2 linked regions of the Oreochromis niloticus genome follow. The protein of the gene in region 1 purifies or fractionates together with the protein of each later gene. This does not show direct contact. Links are inferred from orthologs where the notes say so. Each region holds a gene or a part of one and is shown in the gene's direction. Other genes may lie near its edges.

The links.
Region 2: the proteins of otud6b (region 1) and ubiquitin thioesterase OTUB1 fractionate together in Homo sapiens (co-fractionation; 4 studies listed by BioGRID and IntAct, with this or other methods). This does not show direct contact. The link is inferred for Oreochromis niloticus from reciprocal best matches to the Homo sapiens genes OTUD6B and OTUB1.

Annotation. Positions count from the first base shown.
Region 1 is NC_031985.2:21,835,982-21,847,113, reverse strand, and holds otud6b (deubiquitinase OTUD6B), read left to right. Parts: upstream 1-6,153; 5' UTR 6,154-6,367; coding exon 6,368-6,437; intron 6,438-7,573; coding exon 7,574-7,722; intron 7,723-7,953; coding exon 7,954-8,055; intron 8,056-8,295; coding exon 8,296-8,496; intron 8,497-8,990; coding exon 8,991-9,111; intron 9,112-9,202; coding exon 9,203-9,264; intron 9,265-9,373; coding exon 9,374-9,480; intron 9,481-9,658; coding exon 9,659-9,743; 3' UTR 9,744-10,291; downstream 10,292-11,132. Other genes in the region: ras-related protein Rab-5A, read right to left, coding at 1-22, 456-549, 1,040-1,162, 1,278-1,429, 1,655-1,820.
Region 2 is NC_031967.2:5,951,488-5,963,231, reverse strand, and holds ubiquitin thioesterase OTUB1, read left to right. Parts: upstream 1-6,259; 5' UTR 6,260-6,406; coding exon 6,407-6,488; intron 6,489-8,396; coding exon 8,397-8,458; intron 8,459-8,828; coding exon 8,829-8,927; intron 8,928-9,054; coding exon 9,055-9,173; intron 9,174-9,352; coding exon 9,353-9,437; intron 9,438-9,802; coding exon 9,803-9,997; intron 9,998-10,187; coding exon 10,188-10,385; 3' UTR 10,386-10,786; downstream 10,787-11,744. Other genes in the region: nectin4a (nectin-4), read left to right, coding at 1-54, 1,477-1,665, 1,803-2,192; citrate synthase-lysine N-methyltransferase CSKMT, mitochondrial, read left to right, coding at 11,303-11,381. UniProt on the Homo sapiens protein: Hydrolase that can specifically remove 'Lys-48'-linked conjugated ubiquitin from proteins and plays an important regulatory role at the level of protein turnover by preventing degradation.

The DNA of each region.
Region 1 (11,132 bases):
TCATTTTTTGGCAATCTCTTTGCTGGAAGAAATCAAAAACAAAAAAACAAACATATAATAAAACAATTTTCAGGAAAGAGAAGCTACAAATGATTAAAAAAAAAAAAAATACATTAACAAAAAAAAACAAAAAAACATCAATCATACTAGTTTGACCTTGTCCTCCAGTTAATTTTTAACTCGTATTTAAAGCAGGAACTGAAACCCTTTAGGAATTTGTGATTGTCCAAGCCTAACAGCGGCGTCGTAAACCTTGTGTGTTTTTCAGTAGAAGAAAACTGGAGCTACAGTAGAAAGCTCAGGCAAGCAGAAAACATGCAAATTCCACACAGAAGGAGCCCTAAACTGGGCTTGAAGCCATGACCTTCTTGCTATGAGGCAACAGTTCTAACTCTGAATAACAGAAATGTGCAGAAAAACAAATATCTACAAATTGAATCCTAAAAGTTACCCACCAATGGCCATAAATATCTCATTCACATTCATAGACGTTTTGGCCGATGTCTCCATGAAAAGTAAGCTGTTGTCATCTGCGTAGGACTGGGCGTCCTGTTGACACAATGTAAACAATTTTCAAAACATTCTCCAACACACATTTCTTCAGGCATAGGAGAAACACAATTAGAGGATAATTAAAAATGGAAGTCGTGGCTCTAGAATGCAGCGTCCGCTTCGAATGTGATCATTCAGCCATCCACCTATTTTCCTCCCCTCATCCAACTCCACTTTGCGGTAGGGCTGGAGACGGGTCGCCAGCCTGTCGCAGGGCTAACAGAGAGGTACAGACAGCCATTCACACTCATATTCACACCCATGAGCGATTTAGAATCACCAATTAAATAACTGTACTAACTACATGTGCTTGGACTGTGGGAGGAGGCTGGAGTACCCGGAGATAAACCACGCAGACACAGGAAGAACATACAAACTCCACACAGAAAGGTCACAGAGATATTAGATTAAAAATAAATTAATTAATAAATAAAAATTGTAAAATAATCAAAGCCTAAGACACAGTCTAAGGTTTGTCTAGACTGACCTGGAAGTCCACAGCTCTTTTGTTGGCCAGATCAGCTTTGTTTCCTGACAGAGCGATGACTATATTAGGGCTAGCTTGTCGTTGTAGCTCCTTCACCCAGTTCTTGGCCCGTGCAAAGGACTCCTGAAAAACAAATGAAGACACGGTACCACTTGTCAACATCTAATGCTACTTTCATGTTTTAACTTGCTCTACAAGTGCTCTGGAAGGCCTGGGTCTTAGTCAAGGATGAACGTGCCTCGTTTGTGATGTCGTAGACCACAATGGCAGCTTGTGCTCCTCTGTAATACATTGGTGCCAAACTGTGGTAACGCTCCTGGCCTGCAGTGTCCCAGATTTCAAATTTCACTGTTGTGTCATCAAGACACACTGTTTGGGTTAGGAAAGCCGCTGTGGAGACAGGAAGAGATGAGTCATTTTATGCGTGATCATTAACGACACCAAAACTATATCTTTACGAGGTCATATAAACAACAGAGCTGTGAATGTGTCAACACAAAAGCATCAGTCTTCTAAATTCTGAATGGGGACTTCTCAGGAAAACAAACAAACAAAACAAAAAAAACAGAACTGTCAGGTTGTCAGAAACATCCTGATTTGATGACATGACCTTACCTCCTATTGTGCTTTCCTGGAATTCATGGAACTGGCCCTTGACGAAGCGAAGCACTAAGCTGGACTTCCCCACAGCCGATTCCCCCAACAGCACCAGCTTAAACTGACAGATCTTATTCCCTGCATTTGGTCCATTGGGTCTCGTAGCTCCTCCTCGATTGGCCATGACCTAGTCAGATCCCAGGTATCCTGTGTGCTGAACCTCACTGTCGGGACTTCTGCTGCAGGAAGCACGAAAACAAACATGTTCACAGAGTAAAAAAAGATATTAAACTCTAAGAGATTTGTAATTTCAAACAAATGTAACAAAACCTCTGCTAATATGCTTTTCCCTTCCAATGCAGTTTAACAAGTCATAACAAGAATGGAACAGTTACTTTTGTATAGATGACAGTCGGACATTTAAGACAAATGAGCATTACTCATATATTGAAATCATGCAACAAATGTATAATTATAAGATCAGCTTCCTCTGAAAATCATTATTAAAATTACAACTCTTATGAAAACTAGAATCAGACTAATGAATAGGCTACTAGAAAAAAGTAACTAAATTTGGTAATCTTTTGACATTTTGACTGGGATATAAAGGCCAATGAAAGTTCATCAGAGCAGACTACATAGAAAAAACTGATAGATCTCTCACTCATACTTTCATACATCAAAGTCAAGCATTCACCCACTGGTATCACTTCAATTTGTTATGAATTAAGAAGGATTTCCCACACAGAGTGTTTCAAAGAAACAGGTGGTTTTCACACTGCAGTTTAGGCAACATGAAGATATTTATGTGATCAATAAATTCAAATATATTCCAATATAATTCATACACAGTGCATAGAAAATGATAGCCTGTATCAATTAGCTATCTTTTTTATCTGCAAATTATGGCTGTAAATGTAATTTTATAAGGCTAATAAATGAATTATTCTGTGAACATTTCAAGTCAGTAAAAATAACTTGCAAGCATTTCAAACATACAAAGGCCTGTTCTGAATGCATGTGCGACTTTCGACAGGCCAAATTTAGGACACTTCTTCATGAATGTAACTTACAGTAACACCAGGAAAAGGAAGCCTTGTCATGAACTACAACAGTGATTCGTGGCAAACTCAAAAGAGAGCCGGGGAAAGACCCACCCAGATTACTCAAGTGTGGTACAACTGCGAGAACCATTGCATGCATGCATGCATACCATGTGTGCATGCAGTGCTTACTAACTTATTTGGGAATGAACAGCTCAGAATTTCTAAAAAAACACAGACGGCTGTTGTAAGGACATAATCACGGCTTATGTCTGACCTTACAGGGTGAATTTAGTGGAATCTTGTGCCTGACCAAAAACTGGCCTTTCGCCTCGCATCAAACTCACATATATGGTGCAGTGCAATAAAGCACAAAGCAACCTTTGTTAACCACACAAGTCACACTCTGTTGAGGAGAGGCATTAATCTGTGGTGGCTGTAGGCTCAATGGCAGTTTATGAAGATGTTGTACTGAATTATATTATACTGTAAGGTAGCTGTACATAATAGCATACGACACATTTCAGTGGCTGTGGCTTGAAAGGTTGTGGGATAGATTCCCCGGATACTCCAGTATTCATGCTGAAGTATCCTTGGGGAAAGCACTGAACCCTGAGTTGCCTGCAATGCCTCCATTGTGAATTAGAGTGTGTGCAAATGATAGAAAAGGTGCTTAGGTAAAGAAAAAAAGCACTTGTATGCATTTATGTGTGATTGGATGAACGAGTAGTAGTAGCTGAGACTGCTCCAAGTAGAAAAGTGCTACTTAATTATATAAGTTAAGAGTTAACACGTGCTTATAATGTTCTTATAAACTGCAAGATAACTGAGAGGATAAAGCTATAAATGTACTCTGAACAAAATTGCAAAAACAGGCAAGTCAGTCTATAAAGTAACCATATTTTTGCCTCCAAATCCCTGACATCATCATCCTAACTTCTTCTTTCAGTGTCCCCTTCTTGCCTAAAAACTACAGTCAGCTAGGACTTTGCGGTTATTGCCCCTAGGCTCATGGGGACTGGTTCAACAACTGATCATTTTAGATGAGCTCTAATGACATATCTGTTTTAGCTGCTTTTAGTCTAGCCTCAGGTCCCCCAGGGTTTGGTCAAACACACTGTAAATGTTTTCTACTACTGTTTTACTTGACTGTTTAGCATTGGTAGAACATAGTTGTTTTCTGATTTCTTTTCTTAAATATTATATTTTATTATGTTCCCTGTTTATGCAAGCTCCATGTTTGTAATTGTTCTTGAGACTTGGATTACAAAATGAGTGTGCCTGTACAGCACTTGTGGACAACTCCAGTCATTTCAAAATGAGCTCTATAAATAACATTTACTTTTTTTTTCACACACATTATGAACCTGTGCGTCACTAACCCACATCTGTGGCAAACCGTTCTTACTTGTGTCGCAACACTAAAGTCTGAAGGCATTCATATAAGGTAAAGATTTCCTTTACCTTAGCCACCAGATTTCTGGGTGTATTTCAAATAAAGAGCTTTGGGGAAACGAGTCAATAAATTGACCGGCGAGGTCATGCCAAAACATTTCAACCTTATCTCAATCGACTCATCCTTGAGACGAAGTCTTGAAGACGCGCAGCAAGAAAACAAACATGCTCCAGGAACTGGAATGAGAACAGTGACCGTATTTACCCACACTCATGACACGGACTGTCAGCAAACGCTGCGCATTGCATGACTGCGACGCGCATATTTGGCTTTAACCCTCGTTAGTTGACTATGAACACACTTGCTCGGTGTTAGCAGTGGCTATCGGTCTGTTTTGATGTTAGAGGGGGCCGCCATTTTCCCCAAAGTGTTTTTGTTCTCTAGCTTGTTAGCAAAGCTTAGCATTCCTAGCTGTCTGGTGTCATTAGTCTCCGAACTGCTGTAAGGACATAAAAACAACACGACAGCTATCTGCACAAAACTAACGCCATAGTTTTTTTTTTCTTTCGAATTGAAACCCTGATTGCCTGTGCCGTTTAGCTAATGTTGATTCAAGGGGAATAGCTGAGCCCCTCAATTAACAAACACTAACGTTAGCTTGCTGTCACTGTTAGCATTAGACCCACTGAACCCAGTCCACCTATTAGCAAAGTCACTGTAAGCCTGCCATGCTACCTGCTATACCAGACATTATTAGCCATTTGCTACTGGTATACAAGAGAACAAGCGGACTCGACAGGACAAAGGCCCGCATTTCTGCATCCCCTGTGCCACCAAACACCATCGACATCAGCTGCACTTAGCTAGCGACACAGCTAACTAACGAAGTCACCGATGACAACTAAACAAACGGCGGCGTCATGTCACCGAGCCAGCTGCAAACCACAACTCGTCGATTCGTGACAAGTACTTTACCTGAGAGCCAGGCGATGTACAACTTTAAATAGCACCGCTGCAGTTCGCACACAGAACCTGGGACAGTGTGATGAGCTGGTGTCAGGGGAGGGGGGACCGAGAAAATAATTTCAACAATCCTGTCACGTCTCCTCCTTTCTTTCTTCTCGCAACTTCCCCTTAGAACCAAAACACAAACAAGCTCTTCCGCTCCCCGTGCCACGTCACACGACACGCCCGCTAACAGGCAGATGGTGTATATAAAGTTTGACTATGATCTGCCCTCCAGGATCAGATCTCGGTATCTGTTTTTAATGAGATACAAATAAAATCAGACATTAATAATAATAAAAATTACAAATAATATTTTCATGTGTATTTGATCAAATTACCCAGTAATTTAACAAAAGGGAATCAGGCACAGCTGATATTTAGATAGACTCGGTACAATATAGATACCTTTTTCTATAGGAATCTTGGGTTAAAGGTGACCTTGTCACGAGGACAAAGGCATTTTAATAGTCACATAGATTGTTGTTCCTTTAATTTGAAATTAATATTTACAGACAAGTATTGTTATACCCTTTTGAAAAGAAGCATGTAATCTATTTTAAACCCACTGGATCTTCTTGGCGTTTCTTCTTCTTTCATCTGCTCCCTTCAGTAGATCATCTGCCTCCATCTCACCCTACTTCTAGCATCCTCATCTGTCACAAAAGCCCTCTGTATTCACTCCTTCACTGCATCCACAAATCTCCTCTGAGGTCTTCCTCTTCTCCTCCCTCCCGGTAGGTCCACCTTCAACATCCTTTGTTCAGTATAACCACTAACCCTCATATTCAAAGTTTTTGTTTTCTTTCTCATGTATCACAGGGTTATCGTTATTCCCCAAGTTGCAAACCAGTGATAAAGATCTAAAAACAAGATACGAAGAAAGAGGAAACACTTTTTCCTGTCCACTCTTAGATAAAGATGAGATTAAATGAACGAGACGTGTCGAGAAAATATATTTATATAAAATATATTTAATAAAAATGTATTAAAATAAAAAACCTAGTGCCGAGATAGCCTGGAACTGTAGTACACAACATACCGAGAGGTGGCGGTATAGAGAAAATCTCGGAGTTTATCTTTGGCGTAGAAGAAGAAGCCCCACCCTCTCTTCCGGATAAGGCCATATCAGCACGTTTTATTTATTGTTCACTGTATTTGTGTGCTTTTATCTTGTGCTAACGATGAGCTACATTTTATAACAAGTCATTAATAACACATATGGTAGTCAGGTTCATGTACCTCTTAAGCACTGTCGGTGGTTGAGCTTAACAGCAGCATCCAGTCATGGAGGAGGTGGAGACACCAGAGGAGCTCCTGGCAAAGCAGCACCGCAAAGAGAAGAAGGATCTGCAGGGTAGCTACTTTTAACTGTGCTCTTTTGTTTGGTGGGCTAACATTTCAGCCCTTGCTGGTAGCTAGTTAGCGTACCCTATGTTGTTTATGTGTCGGAGTGTTTAGTCTCACTTTATCCGCTATTAAGTGACCAGCAAGTAAATAAATAATGGTCACCGCAGACGTTTCTGTGGTTACTATTGTGAGGCAACTGCCAGCCTTATCGCGTAGTTTGTTTTGCTTTTAGAGTAATAAACCTATAATACACAGATCACTGTTGGGAGAAACTTTTAGGGATTTGATGACTTTAGCCCAGGGGTTGTCCAACATAAGGCACGAGGGCCAGATTCGGTCTGACAAAGACACCAATCCGGACCCACTGGACGGCTTTGGAAAATGTGAACTGTATTTTAATAAGCTTTATAGTTTTTCCGAATGAAAAAGATCTTCACCATGGCATTTCATACTACACCCGAGTAATTAGGTAATAGATAAGTAATTAAACAACATAAAAGAAATAAAAAGAGAATTTTGTCAATTAACAAAGCTTTCTGTTTTATAATTACAGTACAGTCTTGCAAGTCAGCCACCAGAAATGCTTCTGTAATTTTACACCTTTGTTTCTTAGGGTTTAAACCCAAAGAGTCATTCTGACAGATTTCTTTCATTTGCTACTGCAGTATTTCTTGTAGAAAAACTGAGATATTTTTTGAAATCGCACTTCTTTATCTTATTTTTAGATATCTCAAGGATTAAATTTGTGGTTTAACTGCTTTACTGTGCTTTACACTGGCTGAAAGAAGGTGTTTCACTGGTCTGGCTCACTTACTATGAAAGTTGGCTTTATGTAGCTCATGATGTAAAATGAGTAGCTGCTTTAGCTGACCACTGATATCAAAACATTTCTTTCACATGCCACATGTGGCAAAATAATTAATAATGTCTGATAATGTAAAATCAGTTGTTTGTGCAGTTTGTGTAGACAGGTGCAGAAATATTTTAATCTTTTTTTTAGGTGCATTAGTGCTATCTATGACATGTATCCTTCACTATGTTGGCGGTTTTGTGCATGTATAACTTTTCTAACCAGTATGCAGCATCATCTGTATTGTTGTGTTGTTCTGTTTTGTTTGATGGTCTGCTTTGCATCATTTTCAGCTAAAATCCAGGGCATGAAAAATGCAGTCCCCAAAAATGACAAGAAAAGGAGGAAACAGCTGACAGAGGAGATCTCCAAACTTGAGGCTGACCTCAATCAGAAACACGAGGAGGAATTCAGGCAGCTCAAAGCAACAACTGACACAAAGGTGACTTATTATGTTTAGATGGTCGACAAATCGGGTAGAGTTTGATTAGTAATTAATGTAGAAGCTCTCTTTCATAATGGGGTAACAACTGTGAGACGGAAAGGGAAAGAACAGTTGTTAAAAGGTTTTTGTATGTGTTCAGTATACATTCAGTATGTAAATGAGTCTAGTCTTTGTGCTGTATCAGCTGCAGTTTACAACATAACCATTTCTCTCTTTACTCAATATTAGAAGGTGGAAGAGGTCATAAATGGAGTGGAGAATGTAAAGGTGGAAGATGGAGAACAAGAGGAGGCGAAACAGCCGCGAGTAACCAAAGCCCAGAAGAGAAGGGTGAGGTGCAGTTTTAAAGACTTGTGTGTTGTGAAACTTTTATGCATTTACATTTAAGGTTCTCATGAAGAAGAACACTTAGAACTCATAGTCAGTCTTCCTTGTTTACCACAGTTCACATTCATGATGTCTCCGCTTTAGAGAGGTCTCTGATGATCAGTTCTGCCTGCTAGATATAAGTTGGAGTCTAATAAATCACCCGCATTTACCTGCTTTTGACTTTTAAATGATTTTGTATAGGACAAAAAGGCTGCACAGGAGAAGGAGAGGGAGATCAGGATAGCAGAGGCTGAGGTGCAGAACCTGCAGGGTGTGAGGCACCAGGAGGGTTTAAAGCTGGCCCAAAAACTCGCCCAGCAAAAGCTTCAGATCAAGGAGATCTCCTCTGATGGCCACTGCATGTACCGTGCCATTGAAGATCAGCTGACACGGCGATCAAAGGTACATGTTGTTATAGAGGCATCTTCCACAGCATGACTTTTGTCCTGTCTTCCTTCTCTCACCCAACTGGTCATGGCAGATGGCCGCCCTTCCTGAGCCCTGACCCTCAAAAGCCTGGAGGTTTCTTCCTGTTAAAATTGAGTTTTTCCTTCCCACTGTCGCCAAAGTGCTTGCTCATAGGGAGTCATATGATTGTTGGGTTCTTCTCTGTATGTATTATTGTAGGGTCCACCTTATAATATCAATTGCCTTAAGGCGACCGTTGTTGTGATTTGGTCCTGTATAAATAAAATTTAATTGAATTGACTAATAACTGTAGCTGTAGTTTAAATACTGAATCAGGAATTACATAAGAAATCGAGCATTGCTGACAATCTTTGACACCTTCTGTGTTTGGAGTCTCTACAGCTTGTCATACAGAAAATGACTCAATGAGAAACTGTCGAGTTTAGACGCACAGAACACATTTTCTAGTGCATTCTGTTCTGTTTTAGCTCCAATTACCCACAAGTGTGAAGGAACTTCGATCCCGCACTGCCGAGCACATGAGAGGCCATCCTGACGACTTCCTGCCTTTCCTCACCAACCCAAGCACAGGTGACATGTACACAACAGGTGAGACCATCTTTGTTTTTGGTAATGAAAGTCAAACTTCCACTGCTATATTTCTTAATATTCAATTGACATGTTTGTCTTTTGCTTCCAGACGAGTTTGAGAAATACTGCAGTGATGTGGAGCACACATCAGCTTGGGGTGGACAACTGGAAGTGAGTTCCTCCTTAACTGTCATATACTGTACTGTACATAGTGAAGTATTTTGTTGTAGTCTTCAATTCATTTTAATAATTTTTTTTTTTAATTTTTCAAATTTTGCAGCTTCGAGCTTTGACGCAAGTTCTTCATTTGCCGATCGAGGTGATCCAGGCGGACTCTCCTACCATAAAAATTGGGGAGGAATATGACGGTGAACCCATCACAGTTGTGTAAGAATGTTTCCAAATATGTTTTTTGCTCAGAGTACAACACTATCAGTAAAAATGTGCAAATTAATGTAGTTGTAGTAAACATTTTAAATTCACAATCACAAATTTACAAACACACTATTGACTACTGCCAGTCTAAATCCAATCTGTAACCTTTCCTCTGTCTCTTTGCTTGTAGCTATATGCGGCATGCTTATGGTCTAGGAGAGCACTACAATTCTGTGGAGCAGCTAAAGGACCCAGTCAACGCTGAGGACAGCTGAGAGAGAGTTAACATAAGCCTGTTGGCGTAATGCAGAGAGTGTTCAAACTTCTAACACGAAGCACCCTAAAATATGACATATTTGAAGGGAGACCCATGGTCAAGCGAGACATTGCTGAGCTCAACAGAGAATGCTTCTGTTTTCACATCAGTTAAATGTCTGTGTTGAAGTCAGATGAGGAGAGTGAAACCTAAATGAATACATAACTTTTAAAACAATAACGTTGTGTTAATGATGATAATAATAAAAAAACACAATTGAACAGAAGTTGATGTGTGAAAAGATTTTACATGGGTCACCCCTGGCTAATCGTAATGATTATAGGGTTACCTTTTAGCTCATTTTTAGAGGCATCGCTGAATTGCATCTTTTTTTTAAGAAAAAAAATACAATTCCAGTCATGCAGTTGAGGATTCAGTAGCTGCTTATAGTGTGTAACTACCAACCAAATGTGGACAACGAGTGGTTGTTTTCAGTGTTGTTTGGCTGAAATGAGCTGTTAAACGTGTAAATCATACCAAGTTACATAAATGCATACAATACCATGAGTGTGTGTGTGTCACAGCTTTATTTTGAATGTTTCTAATGAGCATCTTTTTATATCTTATAGGCACCAAAATGTATATACCATGCATTAAAAATGAAAAACCCTCACTGTCGTGGGTGTGTCATGGTAAAACTGGCCATTATAATCAATCCACTCACATTTAACACTAGAATTACTGAGCTTTTTTTTTCCTGGTGCAAGTCCCTACTACTAGATTTACTAGCCCTGCGCAAATTTGCGTAAATTCCCCTGAACCTAACACCTCCTAGCACCCCGTTGAGAGGCCTTCAGCTCCATTGTTCTCCTGCTTTTGTTGTGCAAACATACCTTCCCCCAACCCCCAACCAGGAGAGATTCAGGAGACAGGAGAGAACAAGGAGAAGGTCTTTCCTTCCAATCGTTGTCAGACTCAACAACAAAGTACCTGCAGCCTACAATACACCATGCTAGTTTTTATGTGCAGTATTTCTCATATGCAATATTAGTTCTTGTCAATCCTTGTCACTACATTGCATGCCTGTCCATAAACATATATACACAGAGTTGTACATATATTTATATATCCACACCTTACATAATATACATAAAGTCTAGTTATACATACATATATACATATATATATATATATATATATATATACACACACCAATATTTTTCAATACACGTGTCCGTATTTATGTTTCCAGATTGTTTGTATAGTGCACTTTCAATACTGTACTCTGTGTACAGTTTGTATTTTTGCTGCTTTTGTCTTGCACTGTCCACTTTTCTGCAGTGACAATGCAGATTTTCCACTTGTGGGACTAATAAATGCAGATTTGCTGTGTGTGTGTGTGCAACAT
Region 2 (11,744 bases), on another chromosome or scaffold:
AACATCCCTCTGAGGGTGGAGGGAACACTGAGGAACAGCCTGTCTTCCCTTGGGGTCAGTCTGCGTATCTATATAAATCTGCATGCAGGGCCAGGGCCTGGGACTGAGGCTTTACTAGCCAGATGCCAGATGGCTAAGTTCTGAGTTTCAACATTTCGAATCTGCATGTAGTGCATCACAGCTTTTTTTTTCTTCTCTTTTAACATCTCTGTTCCTCTCTATGGGCCCTAAAGTTCATGCTGAGAATTAGGCCAGAAGACTGACACCACTCTCACATGTGTTAAATATAGAGCTGGAGCCAGATACATGTTAGCTTAGTGAAGCGTAAACACTGCGAGCAAGTTGCAAACAGCAATGCTTGGTCTGTTTTAAAGTATAACCAACTACAACTGCAAGCCAGCGACTCTAACTGGTGAAACATAATGTAGCACAGTGCAATTTGGAAGGTTAGAAACTTTGTTACTGTGGACAGATGAATTCCCTCCCTTAGATAAGGTATAAAGCAAACAAAATTGAGGGGAGAAGAATGCAGACTTTCACCCAAGAAATTTGGGTTCATGTCTTTATACTTGTCCCCTGGACTCTGTTGGTTTTCTAGGCTGATAATAAGACCATGATTTGGCCTTTACAACCGTATCAGAAGGGCAAAAATAGTGGCTGATTCTTTTAAAGAGAGTTAAAATGACAATGTTTAGCTCAGACATGTGTCACTATGTAATGTGGTGTTAAGAGTCAGTAGTTACCTTTCACATTTTAGTGAGATCAGACTGGTTTAATAATGCTCTGTTTCCTGAGCTAAATTACTGCTGGTTGTAGCTCCTGTAATTAGCATGAAGACATGGGAGTGGCACGCTGCTATGTTTCAGGAAGAATACGCTGTAGCATATTTCCCAAAACAACAAAAAAAACCCATTTAATTTCATCTTTAGTGTCATCAAATGCAGCTTACTGAGAAAAGTAACATTTTGCATGTGGCTATTCCCAATTTTTTGTCTTTTACAGCCACATCTTAGTCATTTTCAATACACTGAAAAAACATTTAGGCCCAAAAAGCTACTTTGTAAAGCTTTTATTGCCTAATTGTATGTCAGGCCTGATTCAATCAGGACCTGGAGTGAAGTTTGGGGCCCAAAATTAAATCTCTTATTTTATCTAATATATTATCCAATACTTTCCTTCGAATTTCTTGAAAACTGTGACTAATTAAATGCAAATAAATAACAGACTATTTTTCATTAAAAGTTAATTTATTTTTCCCCAGTTAATGCTAAACTATTGTTTTAAAACTACTTTTTAAAATATACATGTAAGTAAATAATGTAACTATAATGCTTTAAATAATGTGTTTTTTACGTGAATTTGGGGAGAATGTTTGTAGCAATTCTGTTGTTTTGAGCATAGAATTGTTACAATCTATGCACTTCATCAGTGTGTCTAGTAATAGTTACTAGTGTTTCGTTTCCATGCCATAAACAGGAGCAGCCTCAGTGCCGTGATAGCCGATCTACTATCTCAGGCAGTCGGGGAGGAGGAATTGCGTATGACTCTCTGGGCAGACCAGCCATATACAACAACTCCCGGAGGGGGAGAGAAAGGCCTCTGGACAGAGACGAGGAAAGCCGACTCAGAGTGGAGAGATATGTGAAAAACAGCTCTTTATCTTTGGTAAGTGTGTCTTAGTGTGCGTGTCAAGGCTTGAGTTCGCCAAACTGTGGAATGCCTCGGCTCCATATTACTAACCACTGCATAGTTAACCTGATGATGATGCAATCAAAATCTGTGTCTGCTCTGTGTCCTTGTAGCCAGAAACTCACTACCACCCTCCTCTCACGCAATTGCCTCAGAGGATGCAAACGCCCGACTTTCTGAGGTCGATGAACGGCAGCCCCATTGTCCCACCGGATGTGGGGTTGCGACTGGGAAGCATCACCAAGAATCACCAACACCCTCCCGTGAGCAGCACCTGCCCACCCATAAGGGACGACGATGATGAAGTGGATGAAGGGCTGGGCGGTCCTGCCAGTCAGGAGCAACCTTTTGATCAAGACAGCGAGACGAACAGCTCTCAGGTGTCTGAGGGTCACAGTCTGCCCTGCCAGCTTAGTAATGGCCTGTTAAAATACAAAAGGATCCCAAGCCCCCATCCGGTCAATCCCCACACCTCTATAATCCACAAGGCCCAAATAGTTTAACAGCTGGTGAGAAAATAACACGTGAAATTACAGAACTGCACCGCTTTTGTGGATGCGGTTGACTCCAAAGCATCTTTAGGGCATTTCTTATTGCTGCCTGCTGTTTGGGGGATCAGTGGCGTATTCCCCAGATGTTTGCAGAGCTACTGGAAACTAAAGACAATATCACACATTTTCCAGTGCAGCTACTTCAGCATCATCACCGACGATATTCCTTTCTGAGCTTTCACAATACAGCTGTTGCTCTAACCAGCTGCAGCTGACAGGTGAATCCAGCTGCCAGAGCTTATGAGGGGATATTGAAAGCACTTGCTGTGGGAAAAACCAGGAAATACAGGAGGAGTAAACAAGGCTGTGGGAAAGTCGGCAAATCTAAAAAGGAGATTGCAACAGCTCGGTGTTGAGGGTGGACTTCTGATTTGGTTGTGGTGAGTGTAAGAGTAACTGCCTGTGTCACATTCTCTTACACAACATTGGTTGGGACCTGATCCAGATTTTTTTGGCTTGTTCATCTCTGGCCACACCTTCAACCCGCATACCTTCATATTGTCTTACTGTCCTGCCGCCGTAGGCACTGAGACAGTTTGGATCAGATGAAACCTTAATGCCAAAACAAGATTAATGTCCCTTACATGTAGTGATCTGTAAATCTGTACAAATACACGAGTGAGCTCCCTTTTCTTAAAAAAAAACAAAGAACAAAAAAACCAAACAAAAAAACCCCACAAACACCTTTGAAATAGAGCTGTAATACTTAAATCTGAAGTAACAAAGACACAGCATGGTAACAACAACAAATAAAATGTGCTGTCAGGTCATACATCCCTCTGCCTCAGTGGCCTCCTCACTCAGATTCTTCCACATACACGTAGTACATGTGTGCTACAAGCATATTGATGTACACATATATAAGACTAGAGATGACAAAGCATATATGAAACATGCACACTTAATACATTAGAGTGCATTTATGTTTGATCTGTCGATGTTTACACACACAGTATGAATGTCAACATCAATGGAATCTGGAAAAGCTGCCAAACATTTGGAAAACATAGTTAGAATTGATCAGATTCTGTAAGTATGCCTGGATTCTCACGAAGCAGATCGTAGAAATGAATAAAAAAGGTCGCCACACATGGAATTTCTGTACAGTTTGGAACGTTTCCTCCAAAAGAGGACCGTGTCTTTCCAAAAGGAGTTTAACAGGGACATGTTACAGCCTTTGATTGCAGCATAAAAGCCAAACATGTATTTTTTATCTGTGTACTTTTTTTTTTTAATATCTGTTATGAGTATTGGGAAAAATGTGCCAAAGGGGAAACATGAAAAAAAATAACAGGTTTGCTATTCTGGCAAATATGAAGTATTATATTGTTTGTTACATACATTGTATTGTACAATTGTATTGTTTCCTTTTTGTTATGTTATCTGCTGTAAATACGACTTTTTTCCGATACACTTGTCTGATGTTGCTTTAGTTGTGTAAAAAGTGTGCTGGGACAGTTTGTGGCAAACTCAAAGTGATGTGTGACTATTATCCGGCAGCACCTAACAAATGAGAAGCCATAATGTCTGAATGCAGGTTGCATTTGCAGACAGCGCCCCCTGGTGTATACTGCTGGAAAGTGCAGGGGCCTGACTGAGGCAACAAACTGCAGAACTAACCAACTATGAAAAACTGCCTTCCATTGTGATCCAGATGATCTTCTTGGACATTTGCCTGGATTTCTAGTTATTTGCAGAGAGCTCTGGATGGTTATCAGCTAGTACTGATGGGTTGAAATAAATGTATGTGGTTTTTCTAAAGGTGCAGGTGTACAGCACTTTAGTTACCCCTGTACATTCATTTTTTAAACTATTTTTTATATTGTAGAAAAAACCGAATGCACTGAAACTATTACATTTTGTAGTCTTCTTCTTCTTTCAGCTGCTCCAGTCTGTCTCTACCAACCATCTGCATGTCCTCCTTTACTTCATCCATAATCCTCCTCTTTGGTCTTGCTCCCAAAGAACATCTTTGCAACCTCCACCTTCTGACTTCATCTCCAAACCATACATCACAGCAGGTCTCACTACCATCTTGTAGACCTTCACTTTTTTTTTTCTGCCTATGTGCACTGTCTGATGCTGTTGGTTTATCACAGGTATTTAAACCCATCTGCCCTCATAGCTGAAATCACAAATGTATAACGCCAATTCTTGCCTCTTCAGTCTCAGTGCTCTCACTCAGTAGTGGTTTCTTTGCAGTGTTTAAAGAATAAAAGCCTCGTCTGTAACAGCTGATGTTAGGACATGTCTTTCACTTGACTTGTGGTAAACACTAAAGTGGCATCCAATCCGAGGTACTGTTAATTGCAGAGTTAGGAGGCTAATTAACCTTTTCACTGCAGCTCCTGGAACTTTTGGTCTCCTTTTCCAGAGGCCTTCCTTGTAATAGGAGCTTCATCATCACATCAAATGGGTTTTGTCACTTGAAGAAACCTTCATTGCTCCTCAGTGACGGCTGCGGTGCTCAAATTGTGGATGTTGGGATACCGACAGCCTTCGCACTACTGTACACTACATTCATCCACAGGTTATGTCATACTGTGAGAATTTCTTTTCAGTTTTTGCTCTTGTGTTGTAGTCATCATAGCAAACTAAACCTTAAAGAAACGTATTGGCCACTGAATAATTTGCTATACTTTTTAGTTCCTATCCAATGGTTTCTATCACTGTGCATCATCCATATATCCCATTGCTTCATCAGAGTTAATGTAGTCATCTTGGTTGCAACAGGATGAATATGTTTAAATGAATCAGCACCCCTTGAGTCATGCTAACTGTCAGAGTCCTCAAACCACAGGCACAGCAGGAGGAGTGGCAGCCTTCCCCAAGGCCGGTTCTGCCCTACTTTGTTCCTGTTTAAAGGATGTTTTTCCTCCCCACTGTCACAGAGTGCTTACTCATATGCGCTTGTTTGATTGTCAGGGTTTTCTTAAGAGTACTGCAGGGCAAGGGTGTCAAACATAAATTGGTCTGGTAAAGACTCCAGTTCGGACCACTGGACAGCTATGATAAATATAATGGAGGGCATAAATTTTGGACTTTAATTTTTTGATGCATCTTAATGTTTTCCCCTCCCTTATGGAAATTCATGCATCAAACTAATAGATAAACAATTAGATGACAGGACCCTTTCTGTTATTTTTTTAACTACTGATTCTGATACTATCAAAATTTCTCTTTTTTACATCCATAATAACAAAACAAAAACGATAAATAAATACATTAAAAAAACAGGATGTTTCCTGTGAATTAAGAAAAACTTTGTTTTGTAATAACAGGACAGTCTGGGGAATGAGTGACCAGATTTTTTAGAAATGTAATTTTACACATTTATTTCTTAAAATGTATGCCCAAAGAGAGATGTAAGAGATTTCTTACATTTATATGATATTTATATTTAGATATGTTGTTGAAATTGCTCTGCTTTTTCTAATACTAAGCTCAAATGTGCAGTTGAACACCTTTATACTGACAGGAAAGGGCCTTCATCCGGTCCAGCCAACTCAAAATCACAGTGGGCTGAATGTACAAAACTAATTGTTTGTTGGATTTTTACCTTCATCACAGTTATTGAAGAATAGCCACTAACTTGATAAATAAAAGCCAGCCAATTAGAACTAACTTAAGCAGGGATTTGCTTAATTAGTGCATAACTTTTACCATGTTTGCAATTAAACAAATTACCCCAAACCAGTGACTGTGCAGTTCTGTGAGGGTCCATGGTTTTGTGGAAGGACTGCACACTTCACCTGCCTCATAATCCTGTTTGACCCTCAGAAAAGCAACCTGTTATAATGCTGAGGAGGGCTTTTTATATCCCAGCAACAACACGAACCCTTTGACAACACTACCAAATATTTATTTCTTTATCAATTAATCTTAGTTAAAGTTATGATATAATAAAGAAATAAATGTATATTAAATATGACATAATACTGTAATTATGTAAATAAATGCATTATTTTCTGGTAAAACATCAGCCAATGGAATGTACTGGAAGCCTCGTATGACGCTTTAGCTTTGTTAACAAAGTCATTATTCATGCGAAAAGGTTGACCACAAACTAAATAAATGAATGAATGAATGAATGAATAAATAAATAAATAAATAAGTAAATAAAGTAAGTTTACCGGTGGTCTGCGCTCGGAAGTGTGCGACGAGTGATGTCATGCGGAGGGAGGAAACCGATCTCGACAGCTAAGATGGCGGAGGAGCAGCAAGAGTCATCACAGGGAGAGATGGAGGGTGAGAGAAACAGTTACACCAACAAATATCAAGCAAAGTGCGCTGCCATTTCTCTTCTAAACGAAACTCTTATCCACACGAACATCTGTAAAGCGTTTCAGCCGTTGCCTCCTCCGTGCTGAATCTGGCTGATGTGCAGCGGTGAGGGGCACACAGAGGCCAGAGCTTCTGGGCTAACGTTAGCTAGCTGCCAATGCTACACAAAGAAAAAAAAAGCTTGTTTAGTTAATGTCAAGGCAGCAGTGAGTGACAGTCCCAGAGGTTTTGACTTTTGGAAATGCTTAAAATGTGTACTTATTATTAAAGAAAAGGCGTCGTGTTTTTAGTTTATAAAACTGCGTCGTGGCTAGAATTTGTTTTGTTTTCGCACAAGTCGCGCTAGCCAAGTTTAGCTGACTGACGTTAGCTTGTAGGTTAACTTGTTTTGATGTTAAATGCTGACCAAGGGCTAAATGCGCTCTTGTTTGCTTATTGGTGTCAGCAGGTGATGAAAACGGAAGGGGGGAGTGTGTCTTTGTCAATTGATTTATTCCACATTTTATTACATTTTGTTTACATGCAGCTGTCTGGCATTAAAACGAATTCAGTGGTTTCGCCACTGAGAAGGAAAACACCGCGTTAAAAGGGCTTTGTGAAAAAGGACATTTAAACCAAAACGACATGCAGCACCTGGCGCCGTTACTTTTATTAAGAAACTGGCATCTTAACCTACAATGTATTACGGGTGATCGAGTTTATTTATTTATTTTTACAGCCAAGATAATGCAGTCGCATTTAATTGTGATTGTTAAATACAAGCTAGGCACTTTTTAATTTCCTAGTAAAACCAAGTAATATCGAGTTAGTTCAGTTTTAATTCCTGGCTTGTTTGGGTATTACATTGTCACACAGCATTGCAGGTGCAATGCAGGTACACTGCCAGTGTCACTAGGTCACACCTGCGTAAACGCACCAAATGTAAAAGTGAATGCAGTCAGAGATGGGCCAAATCAGCTTGTTCTGATTCCCATCCAATACAGCTTGGGTGTCTGCTAATACTGACTAGAGATAAGATACTGGTTTTAAATTAATAATCTATAACGCTGTGAGCAAGAGACTAGAAAGTATTCTTATATGTGTCAGGAAATACGAGACTTAACTTAAAACATTTTCCTAACTTTGAAAACTGAAAAGGAACAAATAAATATAATTCTATACAAATGTTGATATTTATTAGTGAAATAAAAGAAAACAGCCCTAGGATACACGTGGCAAAGTAAACACAGAGCAACACAGAAATGAATCGAATGGGCTGGCTCGTTATCACTGATAGCTGGTCCAGTTTTCACAGTTGGTATCGGATCGATATCCAATCCAAATATTGAATTGGTGCAACAGTTGTTTCCCTAGTAGCAAATGCTTGTATCCTAACTGTCTGAAACACTAAAAGCTGAAACTGTGTTTTAGCTTTCAGTTCATAATGTTTTTCTATTTTTTCATTTTTTTCAAACCACACATCTGTGCAGTAGATCACATTAGGATCGCACTCTACTAAAAAAGTTAACCTAAGCAGTTTTCCTCAGACTAGCATCCTTTAACGAAACATTAGCACCTCCATACAGTTTGGGAAGATGGAGTTCTGCTTTGATACTGCAGATGTTTGTAGTGCAGTTTTGGTCTCAGTTTCAGAACTGTTACAGTGCTGTTGTCAGTTTATAGTACCATAAATGCTACTATATTTATGGTAATGTAAATCTAAAGTACACACTTTGCATCACTGGAACACTGCGATTTCAAATAGTGCTTCTAATCTGATGTGCAGTTAAAATCCCAATGCCACAGCTTCACTATCCTCTGTTTCAGCCAGTATGTCATTTAAGTACTACTCTACTCCTGAAGCCTCTTGAATTTGTCACCCTTGTCTTACAGGAGTGAACTGCCTAGCATATGATGAGGCCATAATTGCTCAACAGGACCGGATTCAGCAGGAGGTAAGGAAGCTCTTTTTATCTTAAAGGTCAAGTTTAGTTTGGGCAGCAAAAAGAAATAAAGATAGCTTGGCGTTATTCTGGGGATCCGGATGAGCAACTTCAGAAATCTCAGATCACATGTGGACAGGGCTATAAAAGCATAATTTGCACACTGAAAACAAATGAGATGCATGTCTTTGAGAATCTATCTTTGCAGTAATTACATTGACCTTTACCTGTAACAGGGTTTATGTGCACAGCTGTGAGCTTATAATAAAAGAAATGTTACTAATGCATAATCACAGATGTACTGTGTAATAAAAAGTCTAAAAACAAGTATGGAGATGGATTGCAGTGACTAATTTGCAGTTTTGTGTGTGTGGTTGTGCAGATAGCCACCAGTAACCCTTTAGTGTCAGACAGACAGGACCTGTCGGTGCTGCAGAGCGAGTACGCTGAGGATGACACGGTTTATCAGCTCAAGATCAAGGTCAGTCAGAGCGCAGCACCTCTCAGGTTACTGCAGCCACGTGTCAATCCAAAGTTTCTCTGTTTAAATTTGCAATAACAGTTTTGGATCTGATCTTAAAGATTTTTTAAAATTATTGTTATTACAGGACCTGCACAAAAAATACTCGTACATTCGCAAGACGCGACCAGATGGAAACTGTTTCTACAGAGCCTTTGGCTTTGCACATCTCGAGTCCCTGCTAGATGACAGCAAAGAACTTCAGAAGTGAGTGCCAGAGTGGTTACTGTGTGTGCTCTGCTGGCTGTTGGTGTCTATACTCAATGTGTGAATGTGTGTGAGCAGTACACTGTGTTCTGTTTTCAATATTTTAAAATTCAGATAAGCACATAGGTGGCTTTAATATTTACAATGTTTACCTTTAAATACACATTTTGTCTCTTCAGGTTCAAAGCAGTTGCAGCTAAAAGTAAACTGGATCTGGTTAACGAAGGTTTCACTGAGTTTACTATTGAAGATTTTCACAATACTGTGAGTATTCTGGCAAACCTAAATGACTATTTTGCTGAAGTTGCTGTAATAGCAAATGCATGTCATCTAGTTAGATACATTTGTTTTATTTTCTGCTTTTTTGCATTGTTACTGTAAAAAAGCTTAAAAAAAGAGGTGTAAAACCCTCAACCTGACTGACAGCATATCATTTGTTATGTTGGATAAGGTGCAGATGACGATCCTTACTGACTAGCCAATTTTAGATGGTCATCTGCCAGAGCACATGATGTGTTCAGTGAAATGGAACATGCAGCCAAATTTGTTTTGGCCAGTTAAATAGAAAGTTGGCAAGCTGAAGCCCGAGTACATGAGTCTAAATATGTAAATATTGTTTTTCCTGCTAGTTCATGGACTTGATTGAACTGTGTGAGAAACAGCCGAGGCTGCAGGAGGTGCTGAGCTCCTTCAACGACCAGAACGTATCAGACTATGTGGTGGTGTACCTGCGGTTGCTCACCTCAGGCTACTTGCAGCGAGAGCATACCTTCTTTCAGCATTTCATAGAGGGTGGGCGCACTGTCAAGGAGTTCTGCCAGCAGGTGAAGGTTTTCCCTACATAGATAACCATTTTCCTGTTTTTAAATTTAAATATAATGTACATAACTGTTGAATTGTTATGACCGACGTTGTGTAAAGAGTACAGTGTTTGCCATTCTGGTATAATGAAGATGTTTTATTGTCTGAAACTCAAACCTAATGTGCTTTTTTTTTTCTTTCTCTTTTTCCAAGGAGGTAGAGCCAATGTCTAAAGAAAGTGACCACATTCACATCATCGCCTTAGCTCAGGCCTTGGACGTATCCATTCTGGTGGAGTACATGGATAGAGGAGAGGGAGGAACAGTCAATCACCACGTCTTTCCCGAAGGCGGAGACCCCCGCATCTTCCTCCTCTATAGACCTGGCCATTACGACATCTTGTACAAATAGCACTCCTGGCCACGGCCCATCTCATGCATCTCCTGCTGTGTGCCGCAGCAGCGCATTCAGAAAATGCTACCAGCAGCCATGCTGATGAAACATACATCTGTGTATAAGATTACACTTGTGTATTTGGAAAAAAGAAAAAAAGAAAAAGAGAGAGAAAATCACATTACTTGCCTCCTTTGCCCTTCTCGCCCCAAACCCCCAAATTTACCTTCAGTCATAACAAAATGATGAAATAAAAAAAAAAAAAATCTTTGGAAATATAGAAGTGACTCCAACCATTTAGAGTTGTACAGGGTTTTTTTTTCTTTTGTGGTTGTAAATGTTATCTACTTGCTTTGTTTGTTTCTTTTCCTTTGTTACACTGCGTTTCATTGAGTTTTATTAAAGCAATTTACATCTTATTTCTTGTGTCAGTATGATTTTTGTTTTTCAGTTAAATATTGAAAGTTGACAATAACGTTCTTAGTCATCACTGCACACTGATGGAACCTGATATAACTATACTTTAATTGAGAGCATTATTGCACTATTCCTGCAGGTCAAATTAGAGGGAGAGGGGAAAGAAGACGATGGGACTATACAGTAATAAATTGTATATGAACTACGAGAGAAAACATACATGTTAAAATGTTGCTGGTTTCCTAAAAACAGTTTGATCTATAGTTTTCAATATACGGATGTCAGTGATTTACACGGACAGCTGCTTTTTGGCAGGATGGTTAAGTGGGTGTATATTGTTTACACTTGCACTCACACACATGCGCAGTTCCGTCACTGCAGCATAACCGAGTCAAAGATCGTCTATAGCGTAGCAAATACTTTGCTCTAGCATTTTATGGACGGAGAGTCCTCTTGGTACTAAGAAAAAATACCAAAGTGAGAACTTACGACAAAGGTTGGAGTGAAACTAAGGCAAGATGTCTCCGTTTTTAAAGTCATTTTTGTCAGGCAGAAGAGTTTTTGGCGCTTATTTACGGTATCATTCTTCTCTAACTGGTATGTACAAAACGTCATATTTTTGTAATAAAAAATATGTATATTTTTCATGATATTTAATGCTACACATGACTGCCGACTGATAAGCTAACTAGCTACAACAGGTTAGCCATTCACGGAGATGAAGGACTTTGGTGTAACGGTGGGTGCAAGCTAGTGACGTATTCACTGAAAAAAGCAGTTGTACCACGAGGAAGCCCTCTATAGTACAGTCGGTTTCTAGTTTACACATTAAACCCTATTAAAGGTCATCGTAGCTGTGTAGAAAGATGTGCTTTAAGTCTCTAATCGTAGCCGCAGTGTGTCTTCTAAACAGTGGTGTGTTGCTTTGTGCAGACCTTCGCTCACGGTTATAGTTAGGGT